Cricetulus griseus: one gene and its partners. The protein of the gene in region 1 purifies or fractionates together with the protein of each later gene. This does not show direct contact. Links are inferred from orthologs where the notes say so. Each region holds a gene or a part of one and is shown in the gene's direction. Other genes may lie near its edges.

Evidence for each region.
Region 2: the proteins of Nrbp1 (region 1) and Tsc22d2 purify together in Homo sapiens (affinity purification with mass spectrometry; 5 studies listed by BioGRID and IntAct, with this or other methods). This does not show direct contact. The link is inferred for Cricetulus griseus from reciprocal best matches to the Homo sapiens genes NRBP1 and TSC22D2.
Region 3: the proteins of Nrbp1 (region 1) and TSC22 domain family protein 1 purify together in Homo sapiens (affinity purification with mass spectrometry; 6 studies listed by BioGRID and IntAct, with this or other methods). This does not show direct contact. The link is inferred for Cricetulus griseus from reciprocal best matches to the Homo sapiens genes NRBP1 and TSC22D1.

The regions. Positions count from the first base shown.
Region 1 is NC_048600.1:13,143,812-13,147,460, reverse strand, and holds part of Nrbp1 (nuclear receptor-binding protein), read left to right. Parts: coding exon 1-191; intron 192-365; coding exon 366-488; intron 489-690; coding exon 691-792; intron 793-1,153; coding exon 1,154-1,243; intron 1,244-1,565; coding exon 1,566-1,606; intron 1,607-1,960; coding exon 1,961-2,055; intron 2,056-3,529; coding exon 3,530-3,613; intron 3,614-3,649. UniProt on the Homo sapiens protein: Required for embryonic development. Plays a role in intestinal epithelial cell fate and proliferation, thereby involved in the architectural development of the intestine potentially via the regulation of Wnt-responsive genes.
Region 2 is NW_023276806.1:93,081,327-93,084,058, reverse strand, and holds the end of Tsc22d2 (TSC22 domain family protein 2), read left to right. Parts: intron 1-502; coding exon 503-763; 3' UTR 764-2,222; downstream 2,223-2,732. UniProt on the Homo sapiens protein: Reduces the level of nuclear PKM isoform M2 which results in repression of cyclin CCND1 transcription and reduced cell growth.
Region 3 is NW_023276807.1:230,793,936-230,798,300, forward strand, and holds the start of TSC22 domain family protein 1, read left to right. Parts: upstream 1-1,530; 5' UTR 1,531-1,756; coding exon 1,757-4,365. UniProt on the Homo sapiens protein: Transcriptional repressor. Acts on the C-type natriuretic peptide (CNP) promoter. Acts to promote CASP3-mediated apoptosis.

The DNA.
Region 1 (3,649 bases):
AAACAGTAGTCAGCAGTGGCTCAGACCCAAAGGTAGAATCCTCCTCTTCGGCTCCTGGCCTGACTTCAGTGTCGCCTCCTGTGACCTCTACAACCTCAGCTGCTTCCCCCGAGGAGGAAGAAGAAAGTGAAGATGAGTCTGAGATCTTGGAAGAGTCCCCCTGTGGACGCTGGCAGAAGAGGAGAGAAGAGGTAAGGTGATGGTGATGGCATTCTTTGGAGAGTAAGTTGTAAGCAGTGAGAACTAGAGTAGCTGTACAAAGGAGCAGACCAGACTTGAGTAGGGTGGAGTTGGAAGATGCTCATATGGAATACTAGAATGGCCGGTTGGTGAGGTGACTTAATTCTATTTGAATTGCTTCTCAGGTGAATCAGCGTAATGTACCAGGTATTGACAGTGCATACCTGGCCATGGATACAGAGGAAGGTGTGGAGGTTGTGTGGAATGAGGTACAGTTCTCTGAACGCAAGAACTACAAACTGCAGGAGGTAGGTAATGAGGCCTGGGGGCATTGGAACCAGTATTTAAACAACTGTTGTTGTTGGGAAAGTGACTGTGAGGAGAGCCTTCATGGTTAGATCATCTGTGAGGAGAGCCTTCATGGTTAGATCATCTGTGGGGAGGGGTAGGGAATGGCTTTCATATACTACAGTGATTTGTGAACTTTTGTCTCTGTCTCTCTTGCCCCAGGAAAAGGTCCGTGCAGTGTTTGATAATCTCATTCAATTGGAACATCTTAACATCGTTAAGTTTCACAAGTATTGGGCTGATGTTAAAGAGAATAAAGCCCGGGTAAGATTTTTTGCCTAGTATTTCCTGAACTCTTTGCTAGAAAGCAATTTCATTTACTGTCAATTTTACATTCAGAGGTTAAAATGAGGTAATTTTGAGACAAGAACTGAAATACACAGCTGTGACAAGGAGAGTAGGGCTTCATCTGCCATCTCTAGCATTTTCCAGCTAAAGATGGGGAGAAATGAGTGAACATTTGCTTGCTTCTGTATTTTCAGTATGCTGTTAAGCCTAAGAAAGTGATAATAAAGAAAAGTTGAACACATGTATACAAAGTTAACTATGTATCTGGTGTAAATGTCACCAAGTGAGAGATAATGTCTATATTAAAGCCTTAACAGGAAGTGCTTTGTTTCCCTAGGTGATTTTCATCACAGAATACATGTCATCTGGAAGCCTTAAGCAGTTTCTGAAGAAGACCAAAAAGAACCACAAGACTATGAATGAAAAGGTATGCAGAGATGCTAGACATAGTTTTAGGCTGGTTTAGGGATTTAAAAAGATGGAGGTAATTATGTAGCTAATTAGGGAGGGATGGATTAGTGGGAAGGCTGAGAGAGCAAAGTATTGCTAGGTGTGGTGGCACATGCCTTTGGTTCCAGAGGCAGAGGCAGATAGGTCTCTTGAGCTCGAGGCCAGTGTGATCTTCATAGTTTCAGGACAGCTAAGGTGATATAGTGAGACCCTGGAGAAGGAGGGTGGTGGAGAGGGGAGAAGAAAGGAGGAGAGAGAGAGAATATTACTGCTGATCCTTGGACCAAACTCTTTTCTAGGCTTGGAAACGCTGGTGCACACAGATCCTATCTGCCCTAAGGTAAGTAATATCTGGTTAGTTTTTCCCCAGTCTCTCCTGATTTATTTTCTTAAACAGACTGCAAGGCACTACTCTGCTTTTCTAGTCTGCCTCTCCCCAGTTTCTTTGAGTCATGTGCTGACAAGATTAGCCCCGCCTCTTATGGGGTACTCCTAAAGTCCTAACCACTAGAGTAACCCTCCCTCATTCTCCTCCTGCTTATCCTATTTAAGTCACCTGGCTCAATAGATTCAGAGTACAGGGATTATCATTATGGTGACCAGGATGAGACCTGGCCCTTGCTCCTCTTAACCCTTGGGGTCCCCCTGCCCTTAATTTCCTAGTGGCCCCTCTAACAGCCCAGTGCCCCCACAGCTACCTGCACTCCTGTGACCCTCCCATCATCCATGGGAACCTGACCTGTGACACCATCTTCATCCAGCACAACGGACTCATCAAGATTGGCTCTGGTGAGGGGAGGGAGAGATTCTGGGCAGGGGAGCCTCGGGAATTTGGGAGCCATGGGGGTAAGGTCAAAGGCATAGGGAGAACAGTGAGTTTTGAGGTGTGGGCTGGTTATAAGAGAGAGGCTTTTAGTAGAGGTGATTTATAGGGAGAGACCAATTAGTGAGATGGGGTAGGGTATACAGTCTTATACTTCTTGGAGAGAAACTTGGACTAATACAGAGAAATTGAAAGGAGGCTGAGAAAGGGCAAGAGATGGAGATAAGGTCTGACTTGCGCCCTTTGGGCCAAACCCTACCAAAGAGGTTTCCAGACTGCCTGCTGTGAGTGCTTTCATTTGCTGTGTATTTGTGTGCAGTGACATTTCCGTGTGCCGTGTCTGTGTGTTGTTACCATTTGTCTGGGGCTTGGCTGCTCCATCGCTCACAACTTTTCTCTGTTTTCCTCCCTCCCGCTTACGGGCTGCTCTGTTCCCAACAGTCTTTCATAGGATTTTTGCTAATGGTGAGAGCTCCCTCTGCCCCACTTGGGGCTCTGTTTGTGCTCCCTTTGCTCCCTCTGCGGCTGCCCAGTGCATGCAGTCGTGGGAGCAAGGCCTGTTCCCTGCTTCCTGTCCTAATTATGCTTGCTTAAGCTTTTGCCCTGCCAGCCCTCCACCTGCTTGCCCCTTTGTAACCTGCTTGTTTCCTGTGGATTCTGCTTGGCTGGATACTTCCTCTTAGTCCTATTCCCCTTCATCATCCGGCTGGCTCCCTAAATCATACTGTGCTCCTAGATTCTCTGTGACTTGTGTCATTGCTACGATCAGAGTGAGTTCAGCTTGGGCCTGACCCTGGTTCCTCATTCAGTCCTGTGGTAGGTTTGATGTTGAGGGATAAAGTTTTAGACAAGAGTTTAAAGCTTTGGTGGATTAAAGGTGAAACTGATTTCAGGGTATTGGTTCACTATTGAATTATTTTTTTGAGTTTCCATCAACACAGATGGGTAAGGAACAGGCTAGCTCCTTGGTTGTATATTAATGCTGCTTTGCCTTTCTTATCCAGGTTCATGAGGTCTCCAGTTGTCCTATAGTAGGAAGGACTGCCTGTGTTTTTATGTTAATTGCAGGGCGGATGAATCAAATAAAACCTAGCATTTTCATGGCCTATGGATTTGATAGATCTGGGGCATTGGAAAGATGAGCAAGTCACAAATGAAAGTTTTTCCTTTGACTGTGTTACTTGATGAACCTAAAGCCTCAGTGTCTGTCTGTACAGAGTGTAGACTTTGTTGTTCCTGAGTTAGGGACCATAGGCTGCAGAAGGGGGAAGATAGGTGGTGTTCATATGTAGTCTATAGCTCAGCACTGGGAGAGTGGTAGGTTTGTGTCCATCGAGTATTAGAAAGGACACTTCAGGAGAAACATGGCTTTTGGAGCCTCTCTCAAGAGTCAGATCATGCTTTGGTGGTGGTCAGACTGTGGGTGTCTCCTACTCCTAGTGGCTCCTGACACTATCAACAATCATGTGAAGACTTGCCGGGAAGAGCAGAAGAACCTACACTTCTTTGCGCCAGAGTATGGAGGTGAATAGCCTTGCCCCCCTGCCCAGTCTCAGATCC
Region 2 (2,732 bases), on another chromosome or scaffold:
GTCCACATGTACTAATTGAGTGAATAGTCAGTCCTCCATTTGATCACATCATACTTTGTGTGTCACCATTGGAACAGAAGCATACATAATTCAATACAGTATGTGTTCATCAGAAAAACATCAGCCTTTGGTCCACTTAAAGTGGGGGCTTGGGGGCACTTCTGTCTCTAAAATAGCCCTGTGACTAGTTTTTTTAGCAAGCAGCTTTCCATTGGAATATGATCCTCTGCTGTCTATCCAACATCTTAAAATGTTCTTTCTAAGCTTTGGGAGGAAAGAACATTTGCTATACGAGTTGGGAAAGATACTTTTCCCACCCCAACTCCCACAGGCCCAGTCAAGATACAGTAGAAACATTGAAAGCATGAGGAGAAAATTGCTTTAAAAAAAAATATATAAAAGCCATTTATTATTTATAAGGCACCCAGACAGTCTAGAACTAAGTAAAGTAATTCTTTGTTTCTCATAACTCTTTTGACTTTCCTGATTTTGTTTTTCACAGGATCTGGTGAAAAGCCATTTGATGTATGCAGTAAGAGAAGAAGTGGAAGTTCTAAAGGAGCAAATAAAAGAATTAGTGGAAAGAAACTCTTTACTTGAACGAGAAAATGCACTGTTAAAATCTCTTTCAAACAATGATCAGTTGTCCCAACTCCCAGCCCAACAGGCCAATCCTGGTAGCACTTCTCAACAACAAGCAATGATAGCACAGCCTCCTCAGCCAACGCAACCTCCACAGCAGCCGAATGTTTCCTCAGCATAAAGCTTTCTTAAGCCTCATTAAGGAAAAACCGAAAGCAATCTTTCCTTGTGTGCCACTGGTGTTCTATCCACTTTATAGAAAGCAAGTAGCCATGCTTCGGCTGTGTGCTTGGCCTTTTCAGTATTAGACAATCGTTCTACAGGAGCTTTCCCTCTCTAAGATGTCATGCAGCACTGTTGATGTCCACTTCTATGTCATCAGTACATGAGGAGAATAATAGACGGGGTTTATTAAAGCAAGCAGAGTCTACATTCTACATGTGCGCATGAGTGGGATCTTTAAAATTTTTGGTGGCTCTTCCATGTTTCTTATCACCCATGGATTCACCTTGAGCCTTCCTGTCACATAAATAACAGTTCATCTAAAGAGCCACTTTTCTTTCAATATCAATAACATTTGCCTACGTAAGTTTTCATTTATTTTGTGTTTTATTTATTACAGGGCTGCTATTTTCATAATGTACATGAACAATGTCACAGAACTTTTTTAATTTTTTGAATAATTATAAGTATCAGTAAAGGAATTGAAAGACAGGATTACATTTAATAAATAAAACGTTTAGGCAATAATTGAACAAAAGAATCCTGGCACATTTCTAACACTAATGGCAATTTACCGTTGGTATTTATTTTCAATAGTAAAGATCCAGCTTGAATGTAAATTTTGTATAGTGTAAGTATGAAAAACACAGTGCACCTGTACAGGTAGTCACCAGTTATTGTGATATAATAAATAATTGGGCTATTTTCATGAAGAAAACTTTGTTCATTTGTTTCTACTTTCTAATAGAAATTGCCACGATTCCTCTGCTTTTCAACATTTCGTATGACTTTTTTTTTTTTTTTTTTTTTTTTTTGGGTGGGAATAAAAAAAGCTGTGAAATTGTTCAACCTACTTTGTAACCAAAGAAGCAAAGCTGTGTAATGGAGTTTTGTTTTGTTTTATAATGCACATTCTTTATGTATTTTTATTTAGTGTTTTCTTGGTCACAATTTTCTTTGCTGTCTAGCATGATCTGCATGGCCTGTAATCTTTGAACCACTTTCGTACCTCATGTTTTTATCCAGCACTCTTATTGTACTGTGTACTAGTCTGTGAACAATGTCAAATAAAAAGAACCAACAGGTCGTATGGTGGAGCTGAGCTAGTGTACAATGCACCAGTTGTACAAAAACAAAAATGAAGTGAGCCATCTTTTGTTCATTTAAAATGGTGTTTTGAATTTCATATGCAGAAAACGTTTTGTTACATTGCAAATTTTAATGTATTTAATAAATGCAACATGCAGATTAAGTGCAGTGTATACTGAGTATTTAAATTAAAATGTACATTTCATAAATACAGTTTCAAGAGAAAGCATCATTTTGTGTATACTAACACATTAAGTGTATGTCAGAAATTGATGTAAAAATATATATTTTAACACATTTTCTGAAATTAAACTACAGTTTTGTTCAAATATTTGGCTCTATATGTGTTCAGAATTTGACTAGATTTGTATTTTCACGGTTTAAAATAATTTCTTAAGTGAAAACCCATGATGTTATTAATGACAATGATAGTTCTTAAATTTTCAAAGTAAAATAATTTAAAGAACACAAGAATGGTGAGCAATATTTGTACTCAATATTCATATTATGTTAACAATATAAATAGGAAATCCTCGTCTACCAAAACTTTTACTTGAATTCAGAAAGGTGCCTGTAGAAATGAACATGTCCTGTATTGGTAGCCTACTAGCTCATTCAGTCTTATTGAGAAACAGTGGTTAACTCTCCATCTTAGAAGAGGTTAAATGTTCTTTATTTATTTGAATCATTCTAGCCTCAAACAAAAGTCAAAATTGAGACATACATGAGATTACCAAATATTTTATATTCTAGTTGTGCTATGGGAAATAATGCTCAGCAAAACTTTTATGTTAATTAGTAACATTAGAAATACTTAAAAGAACTAGATAAGTATATAG
Region 3 (4,365 bases), on another chromosome or scaffold:
GCGCGCGCGCGCGCGCCGCGTGGGCCCCACGCCCCACCCCAGACTCTCCACGCGACCCGGATTCGCTCGCTCGCTCGCTCGCGCGCCCAAGTGCCCCACCCCCCACCGCCCTCAGGCGTCGGCCGCTCCGCCGGCCTTCGGCAATTTCCGTAGAGACAGCGCCGAGAGCTCGGCGCAGCCCGAAGACAGGCCGCCGCCTCCCCTAGTCAGACCCGGCTTTATGTCTGCAGCGCCGCGCGGCGCGCACGCGCAGACGCCATCTTCCCTCCTCTCCTCCGCGACCCCTCCCCCCGCCGCCTTCTCCTCCTCCTCCTCCTCCTTCTCCTCCTCCTCCTCCTCCTCCTCCTTCTTCAACTCGGTCGGCGCTCGACCCTCCTCCTTTCGCGTTGGGGCGCTGGTCCCTCCTCTCTTGATGCCGCGAGAGACCAGGGGCTACCGAGCAGCCCGAGAAGAGCACTAGTAACAACCACCGCAGCCCCCTCCTCGCCCGACGCCCTCCCACTCCCCCGCCCCGCGCCGCCACCGACCAACCCCACCTCTCATTTCTTTGAACGGCGTCGGCTGCAGTCGCTGCACCAGCCCCGTCTGGCCGCCGCCGCCGCCGCCGCTACCACCACCGCGAAAGGAGCCACCGCCACCGCCGCGCCGCCGCCGTCGCCGTCGCCCGCGGCCCCCCTCCCTACCTCCCCCTCTCCGTCCCTCCCTCCCTCCCGGCCGCGGGAGCAGCACGGTGCCGAGGCAGCCGGCGGGCTGAGAAGAGGACGCGAGCTCGCCCCTCCGCTCCCGCGCACGTCCCGCCGCCCGCCGGAGCAGCCCGGGCGCCGGCGCCCTCTTCCTCCCTGAGGACGTGTGCCGGAGCCGAGCGCCTACCCCGAGGGAGGAAAATGCTCGGGCTCCATGGCTGCCAGTGATGGAGCGGTCCCTGGGCTCCCGCTGCCGCCGCCACCACTGCCGCCGCCGCGCCCCGGCCGCGCTCCGCGAGGACCCGGCGTCTCTGCGCGCCGCCCGCGCGCGCGTTGCTGGGCTCACCGTACCGGGGCCCCTCCGCCGCCGTCGCCGTCGCCGCCTCCCGCTCGCCGCCGCGCCGCCCGGGTCCCAGCCGCGGCCAGTCTTTCCTCCCGGAGCAGCCGTCGCGAGCCCAGGGGGTTTGAGAGGGGCCGCGGGCCGCGGGGGAGGCCCGAGCGGGGCCGGCCGCGCCGGCAGGGGAGGTTGGAGCGACGCTGAGCTCGGGGCTCGCCGGCGGCCGCGGCGCCGGGGGTGGCGAGGGCCGGGCGACCGCTCGCTCCGCGCTGCCTCGGTGCAGGGCGAGCGGCGGGGCTTTGCAGTGGCCGCCGCCGCGGGAGGAGGGGGCTGAGCTGGCTCCGGAGTTGGCCAAAGAAGGTGGGCATTTCTCGCTTCTCCTCGCCTCCCCCGCCCCCTCCTGGGCTCCCCTCCCTCCCGCCCCGCACCCCACGTGAAGCGGAATATAAAGGGGGGTGTGTGAGTGGAGGGGAAAGTGAATGGCGAAGGACTGAAGGGGTCCCCCTTCAGTTCCCCAGCCACCTGGTTCACCCGGTTCATCCTCCCTTCCCGAAGCTAGCCCTCAAGGCAGGAGCAGCCGGCGCCTTCGGCAGAAGAGGAGAAGGAGGAGGAGAGGGAGGAGGAATCGCGTCGGGCGGAGCTTCAGGTCCTGTTCTCCTCTCCGGCTTCTCCATACAAAGATTACGGTGCAGAAGGAAATTGCACTCGCCTCCTCCGCCCCCCGGTACCCAGCACAATGCACCAGCCGCCGGACTCCGCTGCCGCGGCGGCCGCCGCTGCAGACATTAGTGCTAGGAAGATGGCGCACCCGGCAGTGTTCCCTCGAAGGGGCAGCGGTGGTGGCAGCGCCTCTGCTCTCAATGCAGCAGGTACCGGCGTCAGTAGTGCTGCTCCATCTTCTGAGGATTTTCCTCCTCCTTCGCTGCTCCAGCCGCCGCCTCCTGCTGCATCTTCCTCGCAGGGACCACAGCCTCCGCCTCCACAAAGCCTGAACCTCCTCTCGCAGGCTCAGCTGCAGGGACAGCCTCTTGCGCCGGGCGGAACTCAGATGAAAAAGAAAAGTGGCTTCCAGATAACTAGCGTTACTCCGGCCCAGATCTCTGCCAGCATCAGCTCTAACAACAGCATCGCAGAGGACACGGAGAGCTATGACGATCTGGATGAGTCTCACACAGAAGACCTATCTTCTTCCGAGATCCTTGATGTGTCACTTTCCAGGGCCACTGACTTGGGTGAGCCTGAACGCAGCTCCTCAGAAGAGACTCTGAATAACTTCCAGGAAGCTGAGACACCCGGGGCAGTCTCTCCTAACCAGCCCCACCTTCCTCAGTCTCATTTGCCTCACCTCCCACAACAAAACGTTGTGATCAATGGGAATGCTCATCCACACCACCTCCATCACCACCATCACATTCATCATGGGCACCACCTTCACCATGGACACCACCATTCATCCCATGCTGCTGTGGCCAGTTCGTCCATCCCTGGAGGGCCACCCTCGAGCCCAGTGTCCAGAAAACTCTGTACCACTGGAAGTTCTGATGGTGGTGTGCCAGTTGCACCTACTTCTGCTGTATCATCGAGTGGCTTGCCCGCATCTGTGATGACTAACATCCGGGCTCCAAGTACTACAGGCAGCATAGGTATAAATTCGGTTACTGCTGGCACAAATGCAACGAGTAATGTTAACATTGCTGCTGTGGGTAGTTTCAGTCCTAATGTGACGAGCAGCGTGCATGGCAATGCTAATATAAGTACAAGCAATATTCCTAATGCTGCTAGTGTAAGTGTTGGGCCTGGAGTTGCCAGTGCTGTTAATGTGAATGTCTTGAGTGGCATGGGCAATGGTACTGTGTCTTCCTCTCCTGTTGCTAACAGTGTCCTTAATGCAGCTGCAGGTATCACTGTGGGAGTGGTTTCAAGTCAGCAGCAGCAACAGCAACCGACAGTTAACACGTCAAGGTTCAGAGTTGTGAAGTTAGACTCTACCTCTGAGCCCTTTAAAAAAGGTAGATGGACTTGCACTGAGTTCTATGAAAAAGAAAATGCCCTGCCGGCTACAGAAGGCTTGGCGATTAATAAAGTGGTGGAGACTGTGAAACAAACCCCCACGGAAGTGTCTTCGGAGAGGGAGAGCACCAGCGGGAGTTCAGTGAGCAGTAGTGTCAGCACACTGAGTCACTACACAGAGAGTGTGGGAAGCGGAGAGATGGGAGCCCCTGCTGTGGTGGTGCAGCAGCAGCCGCAGCCACCACCACCACCACCACCAGGTCTTCAAGGTGTGGCCCTCCAGCAGATAGATTTCAGTAGCCCTGGTCCACAGAGTATTGCAGCAGTTAGTATACCACAGAGTATTTCTCAGTCACAGATGTCACAAGTACAATTACAGCCTCAAGAGTTGAGCTTTCAGCAGAAGCCAGGTCTTCAGCCTGTACCTCTGCAAGCCACTATGAGTGCAGCCGCCGGTATCCAGCCTGCCTCCGTCAATGTGGTTGGTGTAACGTCAGCTGTAGGTCAACAGCCTTCCATTTCCAGTTTGGCTCAACCCCAACTGCCGTATTCTCAGACAAGTCCTCCAGTGCAAACTCCTCTTCCAGGGGCACCACCCCAACAGTTACAGTATGGGCAGCAGCAACCAGTGGTTTCTACACAGATAGCTGCAGGCCATGGCCAGTCAATGACTCAAAATCCTACTGCAGAGTATGTACAGCAGCAGCCAATTCTTCAGGTGGCGATGTCCTCTGGACAGTCCAGTTCTGCAGGAGCAGCAGCAGGAACGTCAGGGATTCCTGTGGCTCAGCCACAGGGGATCCAACTGCCAGTGCAGCCCACAGCAGTACAAGCACAACCTGCAGGGGCATCTGGGCAGCCCATTGGCCAGGCTCAAACAGCAGTGTCTGCTGTACCAGCTGGCAGTCAAATTGCAAATATTGGTCAACAAGCAAACATGCCTACTGCAGTCCAGCAGCCATCTACCCAAGTTACACCTTCAGTTATCCAGCAAGGTGCTCCTCCATCTTCACAAGTAGTTCTACCTGCTGCAGCTGGCATTATTCATCAGGGAGTTCAAACTAGTGCTTCAAGCCTTCCTCAACAACTGGTTATCGCACCCCAGAGTACCTTGTTAACTGTGCCTCCCCAGCCGCAGGGAGTAGAAACAGTGGTTCAAGGAGTTGTTTCCCAGCAGTTGCCCGCAGGTAGTCCTTTGCCCTCTGCTAGTAGTGTTTCTGTTACAAATCAGGTTAGTTCAGCTGGTCCTGCTGGAATGCCTTCTGCCCCACCAAACTTAGTTCCACCACAGAATATAGCACAACCCCCGGCTACCCAAAATGGCAGTTTGGTTCA